Linked DNA regions of Diceros bicornis minor. The protein of the gene in region 1 purifies or fractionates together with the protein of each later gene. This does not show direct contact. Links are inferred from orthologs where the notes say so. Each region holds a gene or a part of one and is shown in the gene's direction. Other genes may lie near its edges. The genes, in order: ARPC5L, ARPC2, ARPC3 and ARPC1A.

Region 1 (7,430 bases):
TCCACCTTCAGGTCGTCCAGCTGCTTCAGCAGCTCTTCCTTCTTCTTGCCGCGAAGGTCTCGAGCCTTAATCTTGGCCTGCGCGCAGGAAAGGGACCGGGTCAGACACCTCGCGGGCCGCCCTCCGCTGCGCCCGCGTCGTGGCCAGGCCAGCGGGGCGCGCGCCTCGCCCTGGGCCACGAGCGCGCTGGGGGCCCAGCATCCCCGCTAAGCCGTGCCTTGAGTAGGGCCACCGAGGCCCCGGTATCCCCGCTCGCCCAGGCCTACCACGAGGCTGGGCCGCCACCCCATTCCGCAGAGGGGAAGACGGAGGCACCGGGAGCGCGCACCCCTCCTGGCCCAGGCCGGCTGTGGCGGCGCCAGGCCATTCCGCAAAGCGCCCCACAGGCCCGGCCAGCAGATGGGACCCTAGGGCTCACCCCGCGCCCCCGACCCCAGCCCCTGAGCCCGACAGCGCGCGGATGGCGTCCGATTCCCCAGCTCTCACCATGGCTACACAAGCCGCCGCCGCCGCCGCCGCCGCCGCCTGCTCCGAGGGAAAGAGGAAGGGGGCGGGGCCGACCTCCGCAACTACTGCCGGGTGGCGGCGGGCGCAGCCAATGGCGCCGCGGCGGGGGAGCTCCGGCTCCGCCCTTGCCACGCCCCCACCCCCGCCGCCGGCAGCACCGTGGTACCGCCCGTCTGGCCCCGCCGCGAGGATACCGAGCCCGTCCGTAGCGCCCGCCTCTTCCTCCTGCACCTGAGATGACTTAGATCGGCCTCACGCCCTGAGCAGCGCACTTGGGGAAACCGAGCCCCGGGGTGAACGGCAGCTTTCCGGAGATGGCACAGTGAGGACTCGGATTCGTCCATTCAGTCATTTATTCGTTCATCCATTCATTCGTTCATTCCGTAAACCTTTGCAGGTCGCCCAGTCCGTGCTGCTCTGAGCTGGGCGCCGGTGTTCTGGGGAATCAAGGGGATGAAAGTTTTCAAAGATGAATTAACACGGCCCCTGCCTTGGAGCAATTTAAAGTCCGAGGTGGGCGGGGAGGGGCGGGGTCAGACAGCTATAATCCAACTCTTTAAACGTTCTGGTGGAGGCGGCAAGTGGCAGCGAAGGAGCATTCTTGGCCTTTTTTTAGTGAACCCGACCGGGTTTCAAAGTCTTGCTCTGTTGCCGGGTACAACTGAGACTCGGCAAAACCCCTCCTCTCTCGAGTCTCAGTTTTCTCACCTGTGAGATGGGGTATTGATGAGGATTACGGAGATAACATGTAAAACTCTTAGCACAAGACCTGAGGCATAACAATGCTCAAAATATCATCAGTTACAATGTTCCCACTGGAATGAACGCTTGAGTTGTGCCCTGAGAGTTAAAGGCAAATTCATGAAGCAGGGAAGGTGCTCAGGCTTTCTGACTGGGCGGTTTCATTGTTGCCCCAACGGGCAAGCATGAATCCATGCTCTAGTGTCACTCCATTAGCAAAGACATGCCAACACCTTTTAGAGCTCTAGTTAAAGCCAGGTTGTCCCCTTGTTGGTGTCGGGTGTCACCTCCTCCAGGGAGCCTTCTCCCATCCCCAACATATGGGATTCTGTTAATGGACCTTAGTCTTGGACTAAATTGAGAAACGACCTCCCTTTGTGTCCCAAGCTTTCTGTGCAACCCTCTCTTTAGCCCCAAACATACTGAATTAAAATGATGTTTATGTGTCTGTTTCCATAGCCAGCCTAGAAGTTCCCTGGGGGCAGAACTATGGCTGACATCTGATTTGGTTTTTCCTTTTTTTTTTTTTTTTGTGAGGAAGATCAGCCCTGAGCTAACATTCATGCCAATCCTCCCCTTTTTGCTGAGGAAGACTGGCCCTGGGCTAACATCCATGCCCATCTTCCTCCACTTTATATGGGACGGCACCACAGCATGGCCTGACAAGCAGTGCATCAGTGCGCGCCTGGGATCCGAACCCGGGCTGCCAGCAGCAAAGCGCCGGCACCCAACCTCTATGCCACAGGGCCGGCCCTGATTTGGTTTTTCTAGTCTCTAGGCCCAGCACATGGAGGCTTCTTGGATGAATGAATTAATGAGCGTTGCCCCAGACACAGTGAGGCAGGCTTCCAGGAAGTGGAGGGATATGGGAAAGAGAGGGCAGACAGAGGGTATTGACATGGATTATTAGTCTTAAATGGAACTTGAATGGTGCACAGGGACTCTGCTGTCCTATCTTCCAAATGCTTATAATTCTATTAGAGCTAATGATCGTGTAAGTCTTTTCTGAACTTGAAGTCATCTGTGACTCCCGTTTCTCTTACAGGCCACATTCAATCCACCAGCACATTTGGCAGCCTCTACCTTCACAATATACCCGACCTCTTCCCACCACTCTTTGTTGTTTTTTATTGTATTTTATTTTTTGGTGAGGAAGATTGTCTCTGAGCTAACACCTGTGGCAGTCTTCCTCTATTTTTTGTATGTGGGATGGCGCGACAGCATGGCTTCACGAGCACTGTGTAGGTCCACGCCCAGGATTTGAACCCCGGGCTGCCGAAGTGGAGCGTGAAACTTAACCAGTATGCCACTGGGCCGGCCCCTTCCCACCACTCTTATTGGCACCTGCCTGGCCTGAGCTAACAGGCCTGACACCATTGTGTCACCTCTTAAATCACCTATTTTGGCTCTGGTTCGCATACGTGTTCTCAGCACAGCTGCTAGCAGGACCCTTTTCAAACTTAAGTCAGATCATGTCACTGCTCTGCCCATAATTTCCAGGGCTGTCCCATTTGAGTTAAGACCACATCCTTTCCTCAGCCTACCAAGCCCTACAGCATTCCCTCCAGCCCCCACTTCTATCTCAACTCTTCTCTCTCTTCTGCACCAGTAAGGCCTTGCTTTTTCTGGAATACACCAAGCCTGCCCTGCTTCTGGGCCTTTGCTTGGCTCCCTCCTTCACTTCCTTCAGGTCCCTGATCAATGTCACCTCCTCAGGGACACCTCTCTTGACCACTTTAGCTAAGGTACACCCAGGCTCTGCATGGTTTTTTTCCCTCAGCATGCAGTCATCCTTGTCATAGTATAGTTTGGATTTTTAGAATTCTGCCTCTGACTGGAATGGAAGTCCATGGTGATAAGCAGGGACATTATTTCATTCACCAGTTTATTTGGGGGCTATTTCTTTATTTGTAAAATGGGCTTTGCTGGTTTAAAGTTCCTTCTGGCCAGGATGTTCTCGGGATATGAATTTCTGCTGTCTTGTGGCCTGCCTGGGTCACAAAGATTTCTTCCAAGGTATGGAGCTGAAAGACAGGTGGGCCTTGTCTATTTTCAGGACCCCCTGAGACTTTAATTCAGCACCTATTTCCCCCTGTAGGAGTCTGTATCTTTAGCACCCAAGATTAGGTAGCATCATAGTCTGGCAATATTTTTGACCTGTAGACAGTTCAATGAGAAGTATTCGAAGCAATAAGAATGAATCACATTTCATTAACTACCGGCCTTTATTAAAAAGAGTACTATTATATGAAAACAAAGACTCAATTTAGTCGAAGGCTAAGGACCATTAACAGAACCCCTCAAGCAACAGCCCAGGCACCTAATGGTGGCAGTAGAGTCGCCTTTGACTCTGCCCTACCTCCCCCCACCTCCATCTTGCCCCATCTCAGACTCAGGGGATTCGGCTTCCTACCAGGATATGCCTCTCCAGCCTGGCCCGACGTCAGCCCCAAGGACCTCGTCCTTCCTGCCAGGATGGTGGCCAGAGTCATCTCCCTCTTCCCGCCGCCCACCCGCCCGGCCAAGGTGTCTGCTACACGCCGCACCCTCAAGTCCAAATGTCTTCATAGTCTTGTCAGCACCCTGGATACCCTTTAAACGTCTATAAAGTCTCCCAGTCCGTTAACAACAGGGTCTCTGTGTACAAGGCAGAGGCTGCCTCCTCGGAGCTCAGTGTAGTGGCGTTCAAGGCTCCCAAGATCCAGACCAGGCTCCCCCACCCCCGTCACTCCTCGGGGACTAAGAACTACTACTCATCCCTCAGGCCTCAGCTCGAAGGTTTCTTCTCCAAGAAGCCTGCCCGGCACTCGACACGTAGGGCCGGCCGCCTTCTCCTGGGCCCCCGGCCCCTCAGGCTGGGCAGTGAGGCCCCCGGAGTCCGCGGCCGTGCCCGCGCCGGCCCTTCCAGGGGCTCCTTGGACGCAGGAAGGAAACCGAAGAACGAGCGCAGTTACGGCGCCTACGATGCTGGCTGGGGCCCTCTCCTCGGATGGGAAGAGGGGAGTGCAGCAGGCTACTTCTCCAGCCCCTCCAGTCGCTCCGGAGGCGCCCCCACAGGCCCCGCCCCTCCGTCCCACCGGCACTTCCGGTTCCGGCGTGGGCCGGAAGTGGGCGGGCACGGCGGCTGCGCGCGGAGGAGGAGGAGGCGGTGCCGGCGGCCGCTTCCCGCCCCCGAGCCGGAGCCGGTGCTGAGCAGAGCCGAGCCGAGGTCCGGCCCGGAGCGGAGCCGGCTGAGCGGGCGCCGAGCCCCCGCCATGGCCCGGAACACGCTGTCCTCGCGCTTCCGTCGGGTGGACATCGACGAGTTCGACGAGAACAAATTCGTGGACGAGCACGAGGAGGCGGCGGCGGCGGCGGCGGCGGCCGAGCCAGGCCCGGACCCGAGCGAGGTGGACGGGCTCCTGCGGCAATATCCTTCCCCGGCGCGGCGGCCTGGGCTCCCCTGTGGCCCGGCCTTCCCACTTCCCTCCTTCCCGGCTCCGGTCCCGTGGGCCGGCCTCCCCACTCCTCTTACCCCGGCCCGCTCAGCTCGGTCTCCCAGCTCCCTTCCCATCGGGCTCCCCTCTGGCCAGCTCCCCTCAGTCCGGGTGTCCCCTCTTCCCCCTGACCCGGCCTCCCCCTACCTCGTCCCTGGCCCCGGCCCCCAGAGCCTCCCTCAGCAGCGCAGCCCCATGCGGCCCCTAGACCCTGGTGACCGGCCCGCTCGGCGGCCCCGGGAGCGTGCCGGACGGCCTCGGCCCCGCACTCCTCCAGGCCTCTTCTCTGTTCTCTTTCTTGCTTCTTCATCCTCTCAGGCTGTCCCTTCTTTGGGGGCCCCGTCACTCCATCCCTCGCTTGCAGGAAATGGGGGCATTCTCGGGCTTGATCGGCGGGAGGGGCCGAGGTGAGCCACCGCTGAGTAATTGAGCGGCCGGGGCGGCTCCAGGGCAGCCCTCTCGCGCTGGATTGCAGCACCACACGAAGATGGGTGGGTGGATGGGGAAAGGACCCAAGGGGGAGCGCAACCTGCAGCGTTAGTCCAGCCCTGAGGTCTGAGCCTGTGCTCCTCCCACCCCAGAATCAAACTGACCCTCCAGCTTGATGCCACTCTTTGTCGCCCATTCTTGGGCTTTGGACCTTCATGGTCTCATCCACGTTCAACAAGTGAGTTTTGGCTCCCTTCCCCCTGCTACCTTTCTTGTGCAGGAAGCAGTGGAAAAAACTAGTAGTTTAGAGCTAAGAAAAACCAGAGTCAAGTAAAATGTAAAAGTAGAGCCCCACGCCTGCAAATGACCTTTCTTGTGGCCACAGAAAACAGCGTTTAGAAAACAAGATTAAAAATAGAGGTGGTTGTCACAGCCTGCTTGGTCCCTTAGCAGTTTGAGCACAGGAAACTGACTTATTCTCACAGGAAGGATTTTTCTTGATTCAAATGGTGTTACAGGAAGCGCCCACCCCTCCCCCGCGCTCACCAGGGCAGGGTTGGAGGCTCCTGCTGTATATAAAGCAGGTTCTGGGTGTTTAATCAGTTGACTCAGCTTGGGAAGGCAGGCCCAGAGACTGGCTTTGGGAGGAGTCCTGCAGTGTTCTTCCAATTTACCTTTAAAACAAAAACCTTCTGACTTTCTTTCTTTGAACAGGAATGTGTTGTCAAAGGTGGGGATTCAAACTTGTATTTCCTACCCCATCAGGATCACCTTGCTTACCCCACTGGCGAAATGGGGTCATGAGAAGGGCCCCCACGAGAGAAGGTTGGTTTTGCAGTCTGGTGCAGGACCTGGCTCGTGGGCAGGCAGTGCCAAATGGGCTCCAAGTTCAGGCCTGTGGCCCAGAACCATCCGCAGATGGGGAGAACAAGGTCTGGTTACCTGCTGGCTTGGTCCTGGTGCTGTAGGGACTTGAAGGTCATCTCTTGGTACGCCCCTGACTAGTGATAGTCAGGTTCCTTGAGGCTGCTTAGCACATCCAGTAGATGGTAGTTTCTCCACTAATGGCAGTGTCAGAAACCTTGTTACCATGGAGAGTGTACCTCCTGGGATTGGGGAAAGGGAGGTTAGCACGTGAGAACTGAAATTCTGGCAAATGTGGGGCCTGGGGAGGAAGAACTAATACTTACTGAGTCCCTACCACGTGGTATTGGACTCACATTAGATCGTTGAATTTAAACTATGGAACAGACTTCTAGGAGTCTCAGGACAGAGGCAAGGGAAGTAGGGATAGGGGGTGGTTGATTGGAGTAGGGGAAGGTAGGGAGGAGGTCTGTCCTAGTGCTGTATAGGGAAGCAAGTCCTGGTGGGAGATCACACAGAAGCAATAGAAAGAACATGGGCCATGCATCCACACAGACCCAACTCTATCAGGCTCTAGCTGTGTGACCTTGAGTAGGTCACATACCCTCTCTGAACCTTAGCATCCTCCTCTGTTAAAAGGAGGAGAACCATGCTGGACTTCGAGGTTCCATGGGAGCATCGCTGGGCAAAATCCCAGAAGGCTTCTGCACAGTGCTGGGCACACAGCAAGTGCCTGGACGTGCAGCTTGCGTCTGTGGGTGGAGCGGCAGCAGGGCTTGTAGGAGGAGCTTGGTTTTTGGAGTCAGGCATATTTGGGTTGAAGGCCAGCTGGACAGCTTAGCTTTGTGACCTTGGGCAGGTCATTTCCCTTCTCTGGGCCTCAAATTCATTGCCTTTAAAATGAGAATAATGATTCTTGTCGCAGAGTTGTTAGCAGTAATGAAGTAACACATCAGAGCACCTGGCACAGGATCTGAGATCTGGTAGGGATTTTAAAGTATTAGTTCCTTTTCTTTGCTGAAGCACCTTCTGGTGCTCTGGAGCAGCGATCTGTCCAGAGCAGTGGTTTGAGTGATCTTGCGGAACTTGGTGCTACTGGGATCTAATGGGTAGAGGCCAGGGATGCTGCTAAATATTGTATGTTGCACAGGACAGACCCCACATCATTCATCTGGTCTGAAATGTCACTAGTGCCGTGGTTGAGAACCCCTGATTTGGAGGAGACTAGGGGCTGGGCAGGGTTCCCCAGCCTCCACAGCCTGTTCTCTGGAAGGGCCTAAAGCCAGCTGAGTACAGAGGCCAGCTTGATAAATGGTGTGCCCTCCTGCTCCCCAGCTCTCCTGGGCTGCTGAACGCCCTTCCCCATCTGCACCTGCAGTGAATGCTGGGTACCTGGTGCCAGAGAGAGGTCAC
Region 2 (7,606 bases), on another chromosome or scaffold:
TCGTGTTCTCTTGCTTCTACGCCTTCATACATGCCTCTGTATCTACCTGGCTAATTCTTATTTTAAAAACAATCAGATTTTTTTTGTGTGTGAGGAAGATTAGCCCCAAGCTAACATTTGTTGCCAATCCTTTTCTTTTTGCTGAGGAAGATTGGTTGGCCCTGGGCTAACATCCGTGCCCATCTTCCTCTACTTTATGTGGGACGCCCGCCACAGCATGCCTTGACAAGCGGTGTGTAGGTCCGAGCCCGGGATCCAAACCTGTGAACTCCAGGCCACCAAAGCAGAGCGCATGAACTTAACCACTCTGCCACCAAGCCAGCCCCTCAGATATTTTTTCATATCCATCCATTTCAAAGTCTGACAATGCCAAGTGCTAGCAAGGACAGGGAACAATGAGAACACTTATACATTGCTAGTGGAAGTATAAATTGGTACAACTACTTTGGAGAGCAATTTTGCAACGTCTAGCAAATTTGAAAGTGTCTATAGCCCACATCTCAGCAGTTACATTCTTAGGAACATACCCTAAAAAAACCTTCACACCTGTACACAGGAAACTCCTAGGAACATACCCTAAAAAAACCTTCACACCTGTACATTTTGCTATTACAAAGTTTTGCTTGTAATGGCAAAAACATGGGAAAAGAACTTTAGTGTCCTTCAACAGGAGAATGGATAAATATATTAATAATCATAATGTATAATCATATATTGGAATGCTACATCACAGTTAAAATAGCTACATGTAACAACATGGGTAAATCTCAAAAACATATTGTTGATTAAAAGAAACAAGTTTCAAAAGGAGATAATAGAGTATGATACTATTAACAAAAAGCTTAAAATCATACAAAATATGCTATACATTGTTTATGGGTACATGCATATGTAGCAAAAGTGTAAAAACATGCGTGGGAAGGATAAACACCAAATGCAGGGTGATGGTTGCCTTTGCTGAGGAGGGGAAGGAAGGAGAGAAAGAATGGAATTGGGTGAGGTTCACAGGAAGTTTCAACTGCGTTTCTTTTTCAAAAAGCTCTGAAGAAAGTTTAATTATAAAATGTTAAGATTCAAGAAAGCTGGGTGGTGGGTACAAAGATCGTTGTTCTGTTAGTCATGAGTTTAAATAAACCAAAAGCAAGATGAAGAAAATGGGAAGATTGGGTAAAAATCTGCATAAAAAGCCTTTGGTGTTCTAGGTCCCCAAGCAGTCGAGTGATTATCCTCTTTCTCACCAGACCCATCCCGTTTCTACCCCTTCCTCCATCTCCACCACGGGAGAGTCATTTTCTATAGACTCCAGCCAGTGGAAGGCAGTGGGGAGGCAGAGGGCTGATAACGGGATTCAGTAGAAGTCAGCAGGCACTCAAAGCATTCTTGCCCGCCCCCACACACTCTGGGAACACTCACAGCCAAGCTTACAAGCTGCAAACACAACCAGAGGGTTTGTCCCTGGAGAAAAGACCTCCGAATATTGACATCTGTGGGCCCCCAATGAAGTCTGGCACATCATTGGTGCCTGTTATAGTGCAGCCCACTAATCCAGCCCTTCTCCGAACATAACGTGCATTTGAATCACCTGGTAAGCTTGTTGAACTGCAGGTTCTAAATCTGTGGTTTATAGTGGGGCCTGAGATTCTGCATTTCCAAAAAGCTCCCAAATGAAGCCAGTGCTGCTGGTCCCTTTCGAGTAGCAAGACGCTAGTCAACTCATCTCGCCCACACTCAGCCTCCACTCAGCTTGTTACAGTCTCATCTTTAAATACGAGCAGACTGCTAAAGTAGCCAGACGTTTAAGGATGGCCATTAACATAAAAGAGAGAGACCAAAACAAATTAGTATAAAAAAGGACTCAAAGAAACAGATCAAAGCAGAGAGCAGAAGAAAAACTAAAAACAAACACACTATACCATCCTCAGAGAGAAGATATATAAAACAAGGATAGAATAATATGGGGAGGATTCAGCTGGGGAGAAAAAGGTCTTCAAGAAACTGAAACTTCAAATGGTTGAAGATTGGTTGCACAACAGCATGAATATACTTGATGCTACTGAATTGTACACTACAAAATGGTTAAGATGACCGATTCTATGTTATGTATATTTTACCACAATTAAAAATAAAATAACCAAAAACCCCAAAGAAACAGAAAGTAGAAGGGAAAATTAAAGGATCGATCTAGAAATCTAACTTTTAAAGAATAGGCATTCCAGAAAGAGAAGAAAGAAAATGGAGAAGTTATCAAAAAAAAATCAAAGAAAATTTTCCACAAAACTGAAGTACATGAGTTTCCACTTTGAACGAGTGCTCAGTACAAAAAAGTTGAGTCACAGCAAAGCACATCATTATAAAATTTCCAACAAACAATCTAAAGAGAAAATAAAGAGAAAATCCTAACACTTCCAGAGATGGAGATGATGTAACATACAAAGGATCAGGAATATGAATAAGAGTTAGACTTTTTAAACAGCAACCCTGAAAGGTAGAAGAAAATGGAATAATATCTTCAAAATTATGAGGCAAAATTATTTTCAAACTTGAATTCAATAACCAGCCCAACTACAAATCAAGTGTTAGAATAGAATTCAGATATTTTAAAATATATAAAGCTTTCAACAACATATCTTCTATCTCCCTTCTTAGGAAGTTACTAGAGGAGGTGCTTTAGCAAAACAAGGAAGAAAATCAAGAAAGAGGAAGACATGGGATCCAGGAAATGGGCAAAAACAGCCTAGAACAGCAACAAAGGAAAATCCCAGAATGACAACCATACAGTAAGTCTAGAGCACAGTCAATCCAGATTGAAACAAGAGGAAGGAAGGCTCTGGAACAAAGACTCTAGAGAAAAAGTGGAACTTGTGTATTTGGGTATATGGAAAATATTGCTAGAGTCTTGGACAGTCTTAGAGCACCTGTGGGGTAGGAGGCAGCCAACTGTAGGAAAATATAGAAAATTGACAAGTGAGAGAAAAAAGGCAATAATTAACTCTAAGAAAAATGAACAGCTGTATAAGCTAGAAGGCATGGTTGTGGTGCACTTCTTGGCTCACTGGTAAACAATACTTGCATACATAATAATTTAAACGCTGATTATTGGTTTAACCAAAAACTGTTACATAACTATGTGGAGGCAAGAAACAGAAGGGATAGTCATGTTCTCTTTTTTTTTTTTTTCCTAGGTTCATAATTTATTGTATAAATGGAGTATCACATGATGAGTTGACATTAGCTTCTCAGGCATGGAAACTTAACAGACAAGGTACAGTTTAGAATCCATTTATGTCGCTTTCACAGCTGAAGATTTTTTAGACCTTAACCTGAAGTATAAGACCCTGAAAGCAATGCTTCCCTATGTGGCCAGTACACAATTCATTCTACCTGTGAGAGTATAAGAGTTGAAATATTTTTTGATACCAGTGAAATGGAATTGGGCATCAGTTTCTGGACCTGCCATGATTTCAACCTTGTAAAATGCACCAATTCCACAGCTGATAGAGTCATGTTCTTATCTATTACAGCAGGAAGTCAACAGATAATCCTTAAAATTAACAAATCAAGAATTAGTAGTATAAGCATTTATTTAGATATATGGATCTAATCCGGATGAATACGTAAAAGAGTTGAGGACATTGCCTCTAAGGCCAGGGACCTGCTTTTTTCACTACAAGCCTTTTAGTACATGTATTTTTAAACTACGTATCCGCGTTACTTTAGTTCAGTAAACAATAATGTTAAAATGTTAGCGTATAATTTCGGGGGATCTGCAATGTCTTGAAGCTTATCCATGGCCAGTATCACAAGACACACAGGCAGAAGGTGCGAATGTAGCACAAAAACGAGTTCAGATTCTGCACGCAGTTGAGGAAGAAGGTACGTCTCTGGCAGAGGTCCTGGAAGGGTTTCAAAAGCAGAGACATCACGTTCGGGGCATCTAGAGGCAGCTCCCCAGGCTCAGAAATGGAGGCACGACAGGAACCCCGCAGGCCCCTTCACCTAGGTGACTTCTCGCTCCTTCCCGTCACTGCCCTTTTAACAATTTGTAGTTACTACTTGCGAGTTTGTGGTCAGTTTCCTTTACCAGACTATAAGCTCCACGAGGGCAGGGCCTCGTCTATTTCATGCACCACTGTATCCTCAGCACAGAGCAGGAGCCCACTACATATTTTTTGGAGAAATGAGGGCGTGACGGTGCCGCCGGACAGCCACTAGTGTGGCAAGAGGCACGGGCACACCCACAACCAACAAGCTGAGAGCAAAGAAGCCGGCTGGGCGATGACAAGAGCGGGGGTCTCTGAAATGGCAAGGCCGGAAGGGTGAAGCTGGACCTCTGGGACGAGCGGGAGGGAGGCGCTGGACAGTGAGGCAGGCCCTGGGGAAGGACGCTCGCCGGACAGGCACACTTGCAAGCGCAGGACGTCAGGGGGTCTGTGGGAAAGTGGAGGCGAGGTGGCGGCACCGCGCATGCGCAAGCGCAGCCTCCGTGCCCCCTTGGCGCGCCTGCGTGCGCGTGCACGAGGGGTCGGAGCGGAAATGGCGCCGCGGGGCCGCGCGTCCGGGCGGCGAGCGGAAGTGGGTGTGAGAGCGGAAGTGGCCGGCTGGAGCCGGGGGCTGGGCGGGGACCGGGCTTGTCGGTGAGGCGGCAGCGGCGGCGGCGGCGGCTCGGCAGGCGGGTTCAGGCTTCGGGGGCCAGGTCGGTCGGGTGGGTGGGTGTCTCCACAGTCAGGGCGTGCGCGGGCCAGCGCGCGCGTCCTCCCCTTCCTCCCACCCCGGTCCCTGTCCCCTTCTCCCCTAACCTCTCACCCCACCCAGCCCCTCCTCAGGGGCCAGCGGGGCGCTCCCTCCGTCCTTCCCCCCTTCCCCACCCTCACCTGCCCTTGTTTCTCCTTCCCCTGCCCGGGGCAGCCGCCGCCATGATCCTGCTGGAGGTGAACAACCGCATCATCGAGGAGACGCTCGCGCTCAAGTTCGAGAACGCGGCCGCCGGGTGAGCGCGCGCCCGGGGCGGTGGGTGGCGGAGGAGGTAGAGCTGACCCCCGCTGCTGCCGCCCAGTGTCGTGCCGCCCCCACACTTGGCGGAGAGGGACAGGGGGCCCGGCCGCGTGCGGGCACTGCCCCGGCGGAGTAGACGTGGGAGGCGATGGGGCGCGGTGGGGTGAGGGGCAGAGATGCACGGGGCGAGGCTCGGAGCGGGGATGCGGAAGCGGGGAGTGGACAGGAGTGCGCGTGCTGAAGGAGGGCCGGAGACCTGTGGGACGCGAGGGCATCTGGGGCCGGCACCCTCGCTGGAGGAGCCCGCTGTCCTCTCTGTTCCCCGGCATTGTTCTGATCCCGAAGGGAGCCCGTTTGGGATTGGGGTGGAAGGAGTTTTCAGGAATGCCCAGGCCTGGAGGAGGGCGGAAGATGCAGGCCCAGGTCACCACCGGCCTCCTTGCTCCCCACCCCCACCTCCTCGTCTCCAGGAGCGGGAGGGAAGACTGAAAGCAGACCCGGTCTTGCAGCGAGAAAGACGCGATCTCTCCCCTTTCCCTTCCCTGAGCCCTCCCGTGAGAGGCACACTAGCCATTTTGTTACATATTTCTCACGCAGAGCTAGTGGTCTCCCCATCCACACCCCTTCCTTATCTCTGTTCTGAGGTTCTAATTCTCCTCTCCCCACCCATTGGCCTTTATCTGGTTATCTTTTAAATTCTTATACTGGACCCCTGCTCTGTGATTTCTTCCGTGGTAGTCCGGGCCCAGGTATACACTTAAAAACCTGCAAAGTCTATAAAGTTCTTAGATAACCATTTTTTACTGTTGGCCTAAGACATATTTCCAAGGCAGCCTTCTCTGTCAAACACAAGAATGAATAAAAGCCAACCTCCTCCTCTAGAGCTGCTTTGCGTTTCTAATATAATATTTAAAACGTGAGCCGAGGAATTGGTTTTAGCTTCTGATTTTTGGTGGCCTGCAGCCGGTTCCTTTGCCTCATTTCCCCCTCTGTGAGGATGGGGCTTCACATCTTGGTTGCACAGTTGGGGAAATAAGTGTGAACTGTTTCTGGTGAGCTGGAAACTAAGAACAGGAAAGGAAGTGCTTGGAGATCCACCAATGGGAGAGGATCGGTGGAGGGGAAATTCTAAGTGGTCATAATGAACTTGTGGCTTGGAGGCATTTAAAAAAAAAATACTTCTAACCCACTGCTTGAATTGAGCATATTGTATCTCCTGTCTCTTTTATGAGGCCACAGATTGTATCTAAAACAAAGCAGGACTTTCCTTGAAGCATTGCATGCAGTGAGCAGTAGCTACTGTTTCCTGCCAGGGGCTGCACTCGCTTATATTTTAGGCTAACTTGCTTCTCGTCCGTCTTCAGCCTCGCTTCCCAGTTCCTTTACATTTTAAATGTTCGAGCGAATCAGCTCAGAGTCTTATTTTGGGTGATTGCCGTGTACTTTTTTGAGCAGTGTAGCACACAGGAGGAAGTTAAATTAACTTCTGCATTTTCACAGCTGATGTTAAGTGCATTCTCAAGTCCAGACTAGCAAAGAATGAGACCCGAGTGGTTATAAGCTGATCTACGAGATAAATGCCTGTGCGTTTTCAAGGAGAAGCATGCCTGGTTTGAGGAGTATGTTCACATCTGTGTATTAATAACTTGTGATTCCAAAGTGTCGCCCCTTATTTAGAACTTCAGCTCTTTTCCTTTTAGAAGATTACTCTTAAAAAGAGCAACTAACCATTTCAGAGGAATTAAAGTAGGCACTCAAGTCTGGAAGGCATACATTAGAACTTCTAGGACATTTCTTACAAGCTCTGTGTTACAGCAATGTTGGCTGTGGGGGCAGGGCAGCAAGCTTTGGCTTTTATTCTGGCCCATCTTCCCTTTGAGATGTGACTTTAAATAAGTGGGCTCAGAACATATTCTGCTGAAAAGCACTTTGAAAATCTTTGAAAAGAGACCATGATAGCCAGCCTAGGAGGTAGGGCTTTCTTGGGATTGCAAATATAACACCCGCAGAAGCCTTCTTCCAAGCCCAGTGTGACTTTCCAGGCATCCATTAAGTAAGGTGAGGCAGCAGTGAAGTAGTTAAGTATTTATCAAGGCACATACCTACGCCAGAACTTCCAGCAAAGGATAACTAGTATGATAATCATCAACATTTATGGGATTCTGCCAGTGCTCAGCACCAGGCAGGAACAGAAAAAGAGGGGCTTCCTGAGCGAGCCTATTGGCAAAGTTAGAGGGGAGATAAGGGATGAGATGTGTTGGGGTAGAGATCAGAAAAAGACATTCAAGTAAGAGTAGCTTGGAGGAGAAACCCTGGAGATCTGAAAGGCTCTGCCTGTGTGGGGACCTGCTGGGAGGAGTCAGCTCCACCCAGCCCTACATTTCTCAGAGCAAAGCAATTGGGGAAGTTATGGATCCGAGCAGCCTTTTGCAGAGTGAGTCTTCCAACTCTGCAAAGTCCAGTATGATAGCCAGTGGCTACATGTGGCTAGTTAAGTTGAAATAAGAATTAATTAAAGTGAAGTAAAATTAGGTTCCTCAGTCACACTAGCCACAGTTCTAGTGCCCAGTTGCCACATGTGCTAGTAGCTGCCGTATTTGGAGAGTGCCGATGT
Region 3 (7,819 bases), on another chromosome or scaffold:
AACTAGCAGGATGTGCAACTATGACATACAACTAACTACTGGGGCTTTGGGGGGGAAAAAAAAAGGAGGAGGATTGGCAATAGATGTTAGCACAGAGCCGGTCTTCCTCAGCAAAAAGAGGAGGATTAGCATGGATGTTAGCTCAGGGCTGATCTTCCTCACAAAAAAAAAAAAAAGGTATTGTCTAAATTGAGATTTGTGACCACCGTAGATTAAATCTACCTCTTCCTTCCTTATCCTCACCTTTGGAAATCATGAGACAACCATCTGATGAGTGGCCTGTCTTTTCTTCAGGATTAACATTTTTTTTAGTTAGGCCAGTTTTGTCCCAGTGAGAGCAGAAGCCTCTCTTTTATGTGGGGACCAGGGAGCTTTGTTGGCAACAGTTGATTTATCTTCTCTTTTCTGTTTCCTCCTTCAGTTTATTTCTGGCATCTTGGCAGCCCTGAGTGCTATGATCTCTCTAGAAATTCCACAAGTTAACATCATGACGAAAATGGATCTGCTGAGTAAGAAAGCAAAAAAGGAAATAGAGAAGTGAGTTCTTCTTTTGTTATCATCAGATCTCAACTACAGGGATGTGAGGTTCTATCAGTCTATAAATCTAATTTCTTGATTATTCTTCCTTTTATTCATCTCACTTTTAAAGGTTTCTGGATCCAGATATGTATTCTTTATTAGAAGATTCTACAAGTGACTTAAGAAGCAAAAAATTCAAAAAATTGACTAAAGCTGTATGTGGACTGGTAAGCTTTTTAAGTTTTTCTTTTTTTAAAAGACCTGGTCAGGTTGGAAAAGCACAATCCAGTCCCATTTCCTTGCAAAGGAGAGGAGGATGGTGGTAGGCTGTGGGCTGGCTGGTCAGTAGTTTAATTTAGAAGTAGTTATTGGCAGTAGCTAATAAATTAACTGACATGTCTCTTATTCCAAGCCATTTTGAGAATTCAGAACTATCTGTGCCCTTGTAAAGTATCCAGTGGTTATTGAATACCTAGAAATTATTTCACAGATATTATATATATGTGTATTATATTTTCATAGATAAATACCTATGAAACAATGTCTAGTTATGTAATAAGTTAAAGAATGTTCTAGTAGGTCGGAGATCAGAAAAATCAAGGATGATTTGCTGTTATTCTGTCTCTATCTACCCCTCCTCCCCCTTCCCTCCCACAGAAATGTTTTTAATCAGAAGTATAAATGGTTATAAACTCAACTATAGATTGAAAATTAAATATTTTGTACAACTTCAGAATGACCCTTTCTGAAATCCCCAACTTGTAGATTGATGACTACAGCATGGTTCGATTTTTGCCTTACGATCAGTCAGATGAAGAAAGCATGAACATTGTATTACAGCATATTGATTTTGCCATTCAGTATGGAGAAGACTTAGAATTCAGAGAACCAAAGGTAATTTTTGATTATTGGCTTTCGGTAAAAATGTTTGCCAGCGCTCACTGGCCTCCTGCATAATCCCAGCAACTCTTTAAATTAATTTTTGTCTTAGTGGCAGCAGTAACCTTGGCTTTTCTGGGTGATCTCTGAAATTGACACCTGGGCTCAACAAGCAGTGTCAGTTGTACCCTACCTGTTATCAAGGCAATATTATTGAGTTTTCTTTGTCCTCACAGCTCGGGGGTGTGTGCAAAGAGGAAGTGAAATCCAGTTGAACTTGGGCTGCCTTCACATATGTCAGTGGAAAGACCAGGGATAGTTGTCAGTAGGGCGCTGTCACAGCAGATTAGCTGAGAATTGGCGTGAGTGTAAGCTCGAGTAAGATACGCTTCTAATGAGATGTAGCGCTTGAGTTTACCACATATCTGGAAAAATACTGTCAGTCATGCCTTTTGTCACTATAGACGACACGTGGAACTGCTGCTGGGCGTTAGCTCCTGGTAGAGCATGACCTGGAAAATGTCAGCACACACTTGGTCTAACTGAGGGGAAATGATATATTTTCTATTTTGTGTTTCCTTTGTGTCAGGAACATGAAGATGAGTCTTCTTCTATGTTTGATGAATATTTTCAAGAACACCAGAATGAATGAAGAGTTTATTAAAAGTGACTATATATATATGAAGAGCTTGTGACTGAACCAGCAGAATATTCTTGTCTTCAAAGGATGCAATACTAGAAAGCTGCTTATTTTAATGAAAAAAATAATACTTGGCTTTTTATCAGCAGCATGCCTGAATCAAGTTCTGAGTTATTCTGAAACTGCTGCTGTTTAACAGCAGCAATTTAGATTTTAAAAGTCGAAATTGAAATGAATGCACATAGATTTGTATATAATATAAATTAGTCCCTGTGGTACAGTTAAGACCACTCTACCTTTATTTTTATCATTTGTTATTTTTGAAGGTTTTTTGGAGGGGCAGAAGTTATTGTAACAAATATACATATGTGTGTCCAAAGGAAAAAATCCAGAAGAATATAGATAAGATCATTGCTTATCTGTATCTTCCAGTTTCCTACATTGAAAATGTATTATTTGTATAATTAAGAACTGAAAAGTAACTATGTTTTAAGATATAAATGTATATAAATAAAAGAAATAGAAAGATAGCACTAACTTTTCATTACACTCTTGTTTTCCAGTCAGAATTTAAAATACTCAGCCAGGACAAATTTTTGAATGAGTCAATTTCCCCAAGCGTCAAAATGTAGGCAGTGATTTCTTTTAAAATGTTTGTAGTCTCTGAGCATTTAAACATTTATACTTTCCTTGAATAATAACAGATGCACACAAAAATATAAAAGACGTAATTTTTTCTTTTTAACTTCCTGCACATTGAATTGTTTATTTTCGGTATTTCTGAGTTCATTTGGGTTGGGTGGAAAGCATGAGGAATGACTGGTCAATCAACAGGTATTTCTCTGGCACCCACTGTAGGCCAGGCCCTACTAAAGCAAAGCGGAATCTCATTTATCGAGTTCTGCCAGGCATTGTGCTAAGAAGTGTTTTACATAATCTGGTTCATTTAATCCTCATAGCAGGCCCAGGCTCCATTACTCATTTGGCACTGGATCTTCCAGCTGATACAAATTAATCCCTTATAGAAAAGCTGCAACTCAGGTTAAATTTTTAATCATTCTTGGGCCTAGATAGCAGAAGTACACCTGCAGTGTCACATTGGATCCATTTTAATCAAAGGCAAAATTGTGAGGAGTCAGCCATCAGGGGTAAGTTGTGCCTGGAGCCCAGGCTCGGGGCAAGAGTCAGGTATTTGCACCAGGGTGCCTTAATGTGAGTCTTCTCACAGGGGCAATCGGGAGCACGTGATGAGTGGGCAACCTGGGGATGTGCTGTCCTGCCTGGGGACTTTTCCTGTGGCCTTTAGTGTGTAGAAAGTGTGAAAACACCCTGAGCTCCTCATGTTGCTACTTTTTAGAAATTTTATTGTCACATGAGAGGGGAAGAAAGAAAAGGCAACTTTTCATTCACCCTCCTCATTGCTCCTGGAGCTGTACCTCCCTGGTTTAGCTTCTGGAGAGTCTGGTTTGTCCCTCTGGGCAAGAAGTGAAAGGCCAAATTCCATTTCCTTCCCCTCTGAACACTGGGGTTTCAGAATGAATATGACAGTTCCAATCTTCAAGGATTTCCCTGTCTTGTAGGAGAACCTGACGTGATTCTTCAGACAAATTTACTGGTGGGAACCAGGCACTGAGGATAAAATAGGAGCACTCAGAGCAGCAAGGCCCCTCTCATGGAGCTGAGGTGCTGGGCTCTTGAGACTAACCACAAACAAGGAAACCTGATAAGGAATGGGAAGAACAGAAAACAGTAATGAACTGGGGAGTGACTAAGGGATTACTTTGGGCTTGTTGTCAAAGAAGCCTCCTAAAAGGTACTATTTGGCCAGAGCCCTAAATGAGAAATCAGTTGTGGGAACATGGGGCAAAATATTCCAGTCTGAGGGACTGGCAGAAGAAATGGCCCGAAGCAGCAATGAACTTGGCTTGTAACATGAGGTGATTTCTAGTAACCTCTCTGTGCCTCAGTGGGGCCGTGCGCTTAAAAACGCCTGAGCTTTCAGTATCTTCCAGGCATTTAAGTTCTAAGCACTTTACATGCAATTCGTTTCATCATCACAAAACTGAGGTAAGTACTGTTATCTCCATTCTCAGGTAAGGAAACTGAGGCACAGAGAGGTTAATTAACTTGCCCCAAATTACACAGCTAGCAAGTATTAGAGCTGAGATTCAAACCCAGAGTCCACTTGCTCAACCATTACAGTACTGCCCCATTGCAAAGAATTGCAGTGCGGAGTAACGCACAAACCCCTTCTTCCCTGTGCTCGTTTCCCCGTTGTTAAAACCAATGGGTTGGGTTCGTTCACTCACTCAATAAGTGTTTATTGGTGCTTACTATGTACCATCACTGTTACAGGCGCGGGAGATACAGCAGTGAACAAAACGGACAAAATCCCTGCCTTTTTTACGCTCATATGGATGGGGAGACGGAGACAAACACCAAAAGTAAACTAGATAATAAAAGAACCATAAGAACTAAGGGAAAGAAGGGTGAGGCAAGGGGGTGGAGTGGGGTTGAATTTAAAATAGTGTGACGCAGGGAATGCTTCACTGAAAAGCTGATCTTTGAAGAAAACAAACGAGGTGATTAATCACTGGGATTCTGTAACTCCCAAACCCATCCCCACTGCGCACACGCCTCACGCATGCGCGACACGCGGTCCCTGCCTAGTGCTCGGGCGCCCCCTGGCGCCCCTCCGGATCCGCGCAGCCGCAGCAGCCAGCGGCGCGACAGCAAGCCCGGAAGCGCCGCGTCCTCCCCTCGCCCTCCCCTTCCGGCTCACTTCCGCCTACCCCGCCCGGGCCGCCAGACCGGAAGCGCCGCGCTCTAACCTGTCTTCCTTGTCTGGCTTGAAACCCGGGCGCCGCCGAGATGCCGGTAAGGGGGCCGGTCGGGGTGTGGGGAGGCGGCGAGAACTGGGGAGAGCGGCGAGGAATGGTGCGTGCGCTGAGACAAGCGGGCCGAGGAGGGCGGCGGGGAAGCAGGGGCCTGAGGAGGAGAGAGCGAGGGCAGGGGCCGGTCCCTTGGAGTTGGGGCGCCCGGGGCGTCGGCCGTGGGGGCGGGGGCGCGGCAGAGAGGGCCAGAGACCAGGGGCGTGCGGAGGAGGCTGCCCCGGTCCTTTGCACCCCCTTCTCCCCAGTCCCGATCCCTTCTCTCCCCCTTTCTGCACCCCGACTCCGGCAGGGTCCCCAAAGCCTCACTAGCGCCGCGAAGCCAAGGGCTGCGCTTTTATTTTTCATTTTTCAAGTCCGGGGTCCGGCTTCTCCTTTTCGCCTGCAGGCCCACTTCCTCCTCCGCCCCAGGGGGCGGGTCCCTCCCGCTGCCTGTCGTCTGCCAGACCCCGCTTCCCCGGCTCCTCCCCTGTCGCCCCGGCAGTGGCGGCCACCCCTGAGCTGCTGGGTTTAGGGCCCCAGAGCAGACTCGGGTCCGCGCCTGGTTTCCAGATGTTTCTGTTTTCTTGTGCATCGGGAGTAAAATTGATGGTGGTCTGATTGCTCTTAATTTCTGACAGCCAGCCTCTGGGGTAGATTTATCACCGTCATGGTCTCCATTTTGCAGATTAGGAAGAAGCTTCAAAAACGTGACTATTCATACAACAAACATTACTGAGCACCTGCTGCATACCAAGCACTGTTACAGCAGAGCATAAGGCCAACAAATAGCTCCTCTGAAGGAGTTTACATTCTAATGAGGGGACAGACAATAAACACGTAAACGTAAAGAAAATGAAGGAGATGGTTTCAGACAGTGACAAATGCTATGAAGGAAATACCAGATGGGTAACAAGACAGCAGCTGCTGAAGGGGAGGGTGGCGGCTGCTTTAGGTGAAGCAGACCTGTGATGAAAAGGAGCAAGCCATAGTTACAAATGTGTATTTTATGAATCCCATAGCTACCATTTGACTCCTGATGTGTGCCAGGCAGGCCCTGAGCTGCACACTTCATATAAATTATCCCATTTAATCCTCACAGTAACCCTAGGAAGTAGATATGTTGTTGTTTTCTCATTTTGCAGAGGAGGAAACTGAGGTTCAGAGAAGTTAAGTAACGTGCCTGAGGTTGCGCCCAAAACGGGTTATAAGCCGGGGACTCTAAAGCCCGGTGCTTATTCCAGTTGCATGTAGAGCACCCTGGACTTCCCTTGTGATTGCTTATTTAATATTTGTCTTTTTCATGAGCCTGAAAGTTCTTCAAGAGTGGAAACCATACTGGTCTTGCATCCCATTATATCATGGTGCCTTGGATGTAGAAGGTGCTTAGTAATCGTTTGGTGAATGAATAAATATATGAATGGGGCCCATGTTGCCTTACAAAAAGCCAGACATTGTGTAAAAAGCGGAACTACGAATCAGCCTACAAATTGCTCTCGTTAATGTGATTTTTTTTCTCCTTCTTTAACTCACACCTGCTCTCTGAAGGCAGTATCTGTCTCTTCATTTTACAAATTTAGAAACAGGCTGAGAAGAAAAGTGATGTCTTGGTCAAAGACCAAGCCAGGAAGTGGCAGACCTGAAAAGCCACTGCTTGGGTTCTGGCTTAATAGCAGCTAGGGCGTGGGTACCCCTGATTAATATAGTGTTTGCCTACTTCTGTAGTGTAGATACTCCCACCAGGTACCAATGTGATGTTACTGAACATAGAACGGGAAGAGATGCCCAGTCACATCCCATTATATAGTATTTCCACCATAAAGATACAAAGACATAAATAACCTTAAGATCATAGACAATAGTGAAACAACTTTTAAAAATAACAAGTAGTGAATTTTGAGTATTCATTACCTTTGTTTTTAATACTATTTTTTAACTGCAAATTTATATAATTTAATTTTTAATAATGGCTGTGTTCAACAACCAACTTGGCTCAAAATTTCTCAAAATTTAGCAGTCAGTTTTCATGAGCCAGTAAGAGCCAGCTCCAGCACGTCGATGCCACTATCCCTCTGCCCCCTCCCCTGGTTAATCTTGGGTGGGTTGCTCTTTTTTTCCTTTGAGGAAATGTTCTTGTCTGCTCTGCTGACGTTGCTCTCTGCTTCTCTGTTCTTACCTGGCTTGCCACCACAGGCTTACCACTCTTCTCTCATGGACCCCGACACCAAACTCATTGGAAACATGGCCCTGTTGCCCATCAGAAGTCAGTTCAAAGGACCTGCCCCTAGAGAGAGTAAGTTGAAACCCCTTTCCATTATTTTCAGATTTTGGTATGAAACATCTAGCAATGCTCTGATATTACCCAATTGGGGAAGTCCTGTGCCTCAGATTGCTCTTGTGTTTTCTTTTTTTTTTTTTTTTTGTGAGGAAGATCAGCCCTGAGCTAATATCCATGCCAATCCACCTCTTTTTCTTTCTTTCTTTCTTCTTTTTTTTTTTTTTTTTTTGCTGAGGAAGACTCACCCTGAGCTAACATCCGTAGCAATCTTCCTCCACTTTATATGGGACATCGCCACAGCATGGCCTCACAAGCGGTGCCTCGGTGCGTGCCTGGGATCCAAACCCGGGCTGCCAGCAGCGGAGCTCGAGCACTTAACCACTAAGCCACGGGGCTGGACCCGCTCTTGTGTTTTCTATTTGCTTGGTGGATATTGCTTTCTAGACCTTTCAAGATCATGGGTATATGTTGCATTTAGTAGGAAACTGTATTATTGCTGCTCATTTCTCCAGGGTATTCTATCGAGGGGGAAAAAAATGCTTCAGTCGTGACACTGTTCCTATCATCTGTGAGTTCTTTCAAACTAATCTAACACTGCTACATCTGTAAAATGCCGTGTCCCTGTCCTTTCTC
Region 4 (7,297 bases), on another chromosome or scaffold:
AAAAAATCAGTAATGAAGCTAGAAATTATGCAATTAAGGTAGAAATCATTAACAAAAATATAACTTAAAACTCTCATGTTTAGAAATTGAGAAAAGCCAATTCTATACAAACTCTTCCAGAAAACTGAAGAAAAAGAAATACTTCTGAACCCATTTTATGAGGCCACAATTACTCTGATACCAAAACTAGAAATTACAAGAAAAGTAAACTACAAAACAATATCCTTCATAAGCAAAGATTTTTTTTTTTTTTGTGAGGAAGATCAGCCCTGAGCTAATATCCATGCTAATCCTCCTCTTTTTGCTGAGGAAGATCGGCTCTGAGCTAACATCTATTGCCAATCCTCTTCCTTTTTTCCCCCCAAAGCCCCAGTAGATAGTTGTGTCATAGTTGCACATCCTTCTAGTTGCTGTATGTGGGACGTGGCCTCAGCATGGCCAGAGAAGCGGTGCGTCGGGGCGGGCCTGGGATCCGAACCCAGGCCGCCAGTAGCGGAGCACGCGCACTTAACCGCTAAGCCACAGGGCCAGCCCACAAAGATTTTAAATTGTTAAATTCTTAACAAAATTTTAGCAACTAAATATAGTAAGTATAAAAAGAATAATACATCAGGACCAAGGAGCACTTTTCCCAACAATGCAAGTTTAGTTTAACACTCTAAAATCAATCAATGTTAAAACTATAAAACTTCTGGAAAAAAATAGCAGAAAATCTATATAACCTTGGACTAGGCAAAGATTTCTCAGACATTACACCTAATAAATGGACTTTCTCAAAATTAAGAACTTCTGCTCTTTGAAAGACATTAAGAGAATGAACGAAGAGAAGCCACAGACTGGGAAAAAAACAACTGAGAAATAGTAAATTATGAGAATCAACTTGGTACAATATTTTCAAATAATAATTGCCACAATTTAAGTGCTTTTAATGTGCCAAGAACTGTCAAGTACTTTATATACATTGTCTATTTTAATCCTTAGAACAACCCTAAGGGGTGGGAATTATTATCCTCATTTGCCAATAAACTTAGAGAAGCTGATTGACTTGTCCCAAGGCATATAGCTGATAAGCTGCCGCGACAGAATTTGAACCCAGTTCTGTTTACTTCCAAAGTCAATGAACTCTCTTAAGCACTCCATCATACTACCTTTTTATTAAAATAATCTAAGATTGCATAACAACACGGGAAAAGTGTTAGAAACAAACTGTGGAAGAACTGGCTCTGGCCTCCAGGAGATTTACAGGCCTGTGGACTACAGATTTCACTTATCAAATTAGAAAAACAATACCTGGTATTCATAAGTATGCTTATGTGCTTGTCTTGTAAGTATAGTATTTGTGATAGAATGCTATTTATATACCATCTGGACTACCTCATGCCCCTAGATACCCCATAAACTGGTCCCATCCCTGCACTATGGAAATGAACTAGGTGAGCAACCTAGAGTGGAAAAATCCACATGCATTTTTCAGTCCCTCTGCACTGAACTGTACAAGATCTTTTCTATGGGAAACTTTCCCTCCTCGGGACGATACCCAGCAAATAGACAATATCTAAATCATAAGCATTGTTAAGTATTAACACAGAGCATGCGCTTCTGTTTTTACCCTTTTGCTTACATACAGCTTTTACAGGCATTGATTCAATAATATTTCCAACAGTCTCTGTGGTGAGTAGGTGGCAGGCACTGACCCAGGTAAGAGACAGAAATGGAGGCAGATCAGCATTAAGTGTTCACTGTTGTTTGGCTGGTGGCACAAGCAAGAAACAATCTTCTTACTCTCCAAACCCACATTCCAGATACTAAATCAAAGCTCTCTTGAGCATAAGGAAATCCTCAGACCTTGGTAAACATGTAATCTTTCCGATCTATAACTGGTGATATTCCTGATGTGTCTCAACAAGCCCCGGCTCCCATTCACAACTGGTGGTGATCTCTGTGTTCTCTGAAATCCCAGACTGTTTATTTCATTCATTCATAGTTTCATTCAACAAACACTAACTAGGACCTTCCAGGTTCCAGGGATTGTGTATTTCCTTCTATTTAAAACTATCGGTGAACTGGTTTTATCCCACTCTTAAGTTCCCTGAGGACAGAGAGATCTTACTCAACTCTTCTGTACATTGCACGAAATGCTTAAAACAATACTTTGCATTTGGTGAGTACTCAGTAAATATTTAATGACTTGAAGCTTGACCAAATTGCAATTCAATCCTACGCCAATTCCAACTGAGTCAATAAAGCAAACAAAACCATCCCATGGCATACCCCTCAGTGTCCAACCCCTCACTTCCTCCCATTTCCCATTTCTAAGTACCACCTTCCCTGCAACTATTTTTTTTTTTTTTTTTTTTTTTTTGTGAGGAGATCAGCCCTGTGCTAACATCCGCCAATCGTCCTCTTTTTTTGCTGAGGAAGACGGCCCTGGGCTAACATCTGTGCCCATCTTCCTCCACTTTATATGGGACGCCGCCACAGCATGGCTTACCAAGCAGTGCGTCGGTGCGCGCCCGGGATCCGAACCAGCGGACCCCGGGCCGCCGCAGCGGAGCGCGCGCACTTAACCGCTTGCGCCACCGGGCCGGCCCCGTCCCTGCAACTATTTTTTAAAAGGCAGAGTCCTCATTGTGGATACTGTCAGTGTCATTACACAAGTCTGAAAAACAAACACTAAAAATAACTCACTCTCCTTCTCTAATGGCTCTTATACCAGGGCATGATGGGATAATGGGAAATGCTCTGGACTAGGTACCAGGACAGAGGCTCTGGACTGCCAGTGACTTACATCAAAACTTTTATGAAATCTCAAAATCCTCTGGCCCTGTTTCCTCAGTTACAGAATAAGATGGTTTCACCTAACAAGCCCCTTTAGAAATAAAATTTTACCATCTGGAATGACTCATAAAAGATGAAATGCATCCAAGGGTAAGCTTTGTTTAGGCTAAAATACAAAATACTAACTCAAAAGGTAGAACCGGAGATTAATATTAAATGTTTTACTGTTACTTCTCCTGGACTAAGTTATTTCTTTTCTTGTCATTTATCATAAAGAGTCTGGTATTATTAATTTGTATGTGTTATTCTCATCTACCCAGATTACAAATTCCTTCAAAGAAGGAACTGCACTGTCCCTTGCAAAGAGGTGGGATCTAAATAAAACACTGTTGGTATTTTTACTCTGGGTACCAACTCTGCACACTTCCGGATTGGCTCATGTAACTTGCAGACACACGAGGAATCCCTGCTTCCACGCATGCTGTCCTTCCTTTGCCAAGGTGCTGTCTCTGAGAGGGGGTAATTAATTTAAAATGCTCTTTCTGCTCTCTCAATGTGTCCTCGATGTCCCTGGGACCAAAGACTTTGTAGCCACGGGACAAAGCAAAACCAATTACTTCCAGTGCATGCGTGCTCCCGAACAAGAGGATTAACCAGCCCCAGAGAACATAGTGAGGCTCTGACACTTGGAATTTGACACGTTCACTTCTGTGAACATCACCTTACAGCCAAGCATTGGGGTCAAACTTGTAAACCACCACAGGGAACCATACAGACACTTGGTGGGCGACCTGCTGTGGCCCCGAGGACAGGAGTGCTGCTCCAGAATTTCTGTGGGTTCAAGGGCGGCAGGTCTAGCCGCAAGTGGGGTTCAGAGCATTTCCTTGAAGGGCGACAGGTCTAGCCGCAAGTGGGGTTCAGAGCATTTCCTTGAAGCCGCATCTGCACAGGAAGCTGTCTTCACGTGTTTGGGGGGAGATGCTGAATTCTCCCAATTCCTCTGTCCTGTGGCGCTATCTTGGGAGCAGGAAACAAGTGACTGAGGAAGGGTCGCGAAAGTTCCTCGGAGAGGGCTTTGCACAGGAGACTGGCTCTGACGGGGGTGTCTCTGAAGGGGGAAACACGTAGTCGTTCGTCGGGTTCGTGTGGCGCGAAATGCGTCATATAGTAATTCTCAATTCTCAGTAATTCATTTCCCGACAAAAGCACTCGCGAAAGCGCCAAGGCTCCACACTTCGCTCCGCCAGTCTGAGGAAATTTTTCGAGGACCGGAGTAAGACGTTCACGCTGTCTCGTCACCATTCCCCAGCCGTTTTACGACACCGCTTCAGAAAGGCCACCGCGGCCGCTCACAGGCCCGACCCTGACCCGCCGCACCCGCTCGGGACCCCTGCCGCACGACCGATCAGTGCGCGTGCGCGGACCGCCCGCGCCGCCGCGCTGCGCAGGCGCCGTGGCCATTTCCGGGATCTGTCAGCCGCTCCCTCTGAGCCTCGGTCCTCCGCCCGCGCCCGCCGGAGCCTGTTCGCGTCGACTGACCAGAGTCCGCGAATTCTCCGCTCCGAGCCCGTCCGGACTGCCCCGACCCCAGGTAAGGGGCAACAGGGGCGAGCTTCTGGCTCTGCTGGCCTCCACTGCCCCGGCCTCGACCCCGCGGGGGCGGGAAGGCGGGGGTTTAGGCCGCGGGGCCCGAGGCTGAGGGGCGGGCCGGGTCTCCTTGCCCGGCCTCCCGGAGGGGCGGGGATCCGTGTTCTCCGTGGGGCCTGGCGAGCCCCTGGGATCCCCTTGAGGGATCGCTTCTCCCAAGATTTTCAAGCTCCAAGCCTCCTCCCGTGCCAGAATTAACGACTCCTGCTGCGCTTCTATTGCCCTATTTGCATCTCTATTGTGGGCATTTATCACAATCTGTAAAATTGTGGTAAATGGGATCCTCTGCCCTCTATCGAGCGTCACGAGGGACCGTTCATTCCTTTTTTTAGCGTCTAGGAGAGGTCCCTGCACACAGTCGTCGCCCGTGGAATGTTTGGCTCCTGTCTGGGGCAGCCCCCAATCCTTCAGCTGCCGGGTGGACCCTCCCGAACTCGAGAAAAACCTTCCCCCGAGTTCTTTAAGATTCCCCCGCTCCGGTGCCTCCTTCCCTTAAGTCAGAATTGCACATATTCGCTCCTCCTCGCTCCTTGTCTCTAAGGAACCTTTTATATGGCACCTTGCACATTCCAGCCCTCCCGTCCCACTGCGGCAGTTACAATCCTGGCACCACCACTTGGTTGGGTGACCCTGGGAAGATTGCTTCTCTGAATCCCTGTTTCCTCATCTGCAGTAAGAAGATTCTTAGGGCTTTTCTGAGGATCAAGTGAGTTTATTTGCATAAATTGCTTAGAAGAGTTCCTAGTCCAGAGTAGGTGCTCAATAAGTATTAGCTATTATTACTGCTTCTGGGCATTCTATGCATGTCTCTCGTCCCTTCCTCCCCTACACTCTTCTTCCAGACTTAAGGACCAGAAAAGTGTCAGATTTATTTATGTTTCTGGCCCCAACCCAATACTTACTACACTGCTTAGATCTTTGATTATAAAGCCATGTGTTCTCATACTGCAGCTTTGGAACCTGAAGGAAATGCTAACCGATTTTCACCTACCTCAACTCATTGCCTAAGTTACCTAAACTATCCTAGTTCTGCTCTCTTTTGTTAATTTTATCTAACCTCTTGTTTTCACGTAGGCCCTGGGTTTTTCAGGTATCAAAAAAACAGAGACTCTATCAGTCAGGAAGGTGTTTTTAGGCTATTTGGGAGAGGGTGTAAAGCTGCTTCCTACAACAAAGTATTCGGAGAACTTCCAAGGTTAATTCATTTACTTATGACGATTAAAAGAAGGGATCATCTTGGAAAATTAAAACTCCTGCTTGGAGGGAGAGTGGCAGTGTTTTGATCTAGTTGACTAACCTGTGCTGAAACAAATTCTGCATAAAGAAGTTTAAAATGGTCTGCTGGTGAGGCTGGTGCCTGGAATTGGAATCTGTCTCTGGACGTTGTGGAGGGTGTGGTGACCTTGTTGGAGTACCTGGTATTGCTGGGTTGGGTAGTGAGAGCAATTAGAAACTGGGTGAATCACGTCTTGAAAACTGAAATTCCCACTGTACAAATACTTTCAAGCACCAGGGCCAAGAATTTAAAGCATATGTGGATGTTTCCGTGTTTGGAGGATGCTAACTGATGTGTACTTCCAGGGATAGTTCAAAAGCCTGGGGTCAGATGAAGAAAGGGAACTAACTTCTTGAGCATCTATTTTGGGCTAGGCTTTGTGCTACATGCTTTCGCTTGTTATCTCATTTAATCCTCCTCCCTACAGCTTTCGGATGTCAGTGATATGTCCATTTTACAGATGATGAAACGAGATTTAGAGGTACTGAGTGACCTGCCTGGGGTCTCATAGGTAGTATGTGTCAAAGTCAAGATTCAAACCCACGTCCCCTTGGCTTCAGAACCCATGGCTAACCAAACATCAGAATGACTCTGTACTCAAAGTGATAGGTAAAGAAAGGAGGTGGGGGGTGGCAGTGTTCCAGGGGTCATACTGTGCTATAAATCATTATCTCTGTCAGTGCTAGACAATAAAAGGTCATCAATAGAAGATTGTTAAATTTCACGTCACTACCTTTTTGTCTGTCCTTTTTTTTCTTCTCTACCTTCATTAAGACAAAGGTTTTCAGATTCCACTTAAATATTAATCACAGCTTAGAAATTATAATTATCACCCTACGACAGAAGGCATCTTTTCTTGGTACAAAATTCAAGCTGCTATTATTCTTTTGCTTTCACTGAGTTTGATGAATACAGTCTGTGTGTACTGGGCGCCCTATAAATTTGACAAACGTGAATGTTGTCTTGGTCTACAGACTCAGAATAGCCACATGATTATAAAAGAAGTGTAAGTCTGAGTGTATGTCCAAATATAGAACTTGAATGGTATAACAAAATTAGAAATGCAATTTTAGAAGTAATTATGCCATTGTGTAAATGTTTACCTCTTTTGAAGTCTTTGCTATATTGCTTATAAAACTGAGTTGAAGAGTGAGAAAGCCTTTGTCTGCAGCACATGAAATATGTGCTTTTATTGCATGCAGATATTCACATTAAATTATTAATTTGCAGGCCAATTTTGTTTCAGTTAGCAAATGAACCTATAAAATGTGGCTTTTGAACTAAATTGCTTTTACTTAAGGAGCTATCTGTTACACAACATGTTATTTTGAGGAACTATGAGTAAAACCTGTTGTGGTAGGTAAGCATCTGATATCAGGGATAAAGAGAGAATTATGATACGGTAGCATCAGGAAGCTTATTTTTTAAAAAACAAATTAAGCAGTCTCATTTGAATTCATTTAAAGTTTTTTTTAAATTTCCAATGAGAGGCTTTTTCTTTATTTTTGAGTTGCAATTTGCATTCTAGAACACGTAAAAGTAAAAAATTAATGACCTAAGTAACTTCACTCTTAGAATAGAATGTGAAACACTGAC

The links.
Region 2: the proteins of ARPC5L (region 1) and ARPC2 fractionate together in Homo sapiens (co-fractionation; 7 studies listed by BioGRID and IntAct, with this or other methods). This does not show direct contact. The link is inferred for Diceros bicornis minor from reciprocal best matches to the Homo sapiens genes ARPC5L and ARPC2.
Region 3: the proteins of ARPC5L (region 1) and ARPC3 purify together in Homo sapiens (affinity purification with mass spectrometry; 7 studies listed by BioGRID and IntAct, counting the BioPlex papers as one, with this or other methods). This does not show direct contact. The link is inferred for Diceros bicornis minor from reciprocal best matches to the Homo sapiens genes ARPC5L and ARPC3.
Region 4: the proteins of ARPC5L (region 1) and ARPC1A fractionate together in Homo sapiens (co-fractionation; 7 studies listed by BioGRID and IntAct, with this or other methods). This does not show direct contact. The link is inferred for Diceros bicornis minor from reciprocal best matches to the Homo sapiens genes ARPC5L and ARPC1A.

Annotation. Positions count from the first base shown.
Region 1 is NC_080767.1:33,364,358-33,371,787, forward strand, and holds the start of ARPC5L (actin-related protein 2/3 complex subunit 5-like protein), read left to right. Parts: upstream 1-4,428; 5' UTR 4,429-4,502; coding exon 4,503-4,657; intron 4,658-7,430. Other genes in the region: RPL35 (large ribosomal subunit protein uL29), read right to left, coding at 1-77, 487-489. UniProt on the Homo sapiens protein: May function as component of the Arp2/3 complex which is involved in regulation of actin polymerization and together with an activating nucleation-promoting factor (NPF) mediates the formation of branched actin networks.
Region 2 is NC_080776.1:8,672,342-8,679,947, forward strand, and holds the start of ARPC2 (actin-related protein 2/3 complex subunit 2), read left to right. Parts: upstream 1-4,598; 5' UTR 4,599-4,693; intron 4,694-4,905; 5' UTR 4,906-4,913; coding exon 4,914-4,987; intron 4,988-7,606. UniProt on the Homo sapiens protein: Actin-binding component of the Arp2/3 complex, a multiprotein complex that mediates actin polymerization upon stimulation by nucleation-promoting factor (NPF).
Region 3 is NC_080774.1:8,970,428-8,978,246, reverse strand, and holds the start of ARPC3 (actin-related protein 2/3 complex subunit 3), read left to right. Parts: upstream 1-4,817; 5' UTR 4,818-4,909; coding exon 4,910-4,915; intron 4,916-7,101; coding exon 7,102-7,201; intron 7,202-7,819. Other genes in the region: GPN3 (GPN-loop GTPase 3), read left to right, coding at 422-537, 650-746, 1,285-1,413, 1,988-2,050. UniProt on the Homo sapiens protein: Component of the Arp2/3 complex, a multiprotein complex that mediates actin polymerization upon stimulation by nucleation-promoting factor (NPF).
Region 4 is NC_080765.1:7,346,701-7,353,997, reverse strand, and holds the start of ARPC1A (actin-related protein 2/3 complex subunit 1A), read left to right. Parts: upstream 1-4,279; 5' UTR 4,280-4,369; intron 4,370-7,297. UniProt on the Homo sapiens protein: Probably functions as a component of the Arp2/3 complex which is involved in regulation of actin polymerization and together with an activating nucleation-promoting factor (NPF) mediates the formation of branched actin networks.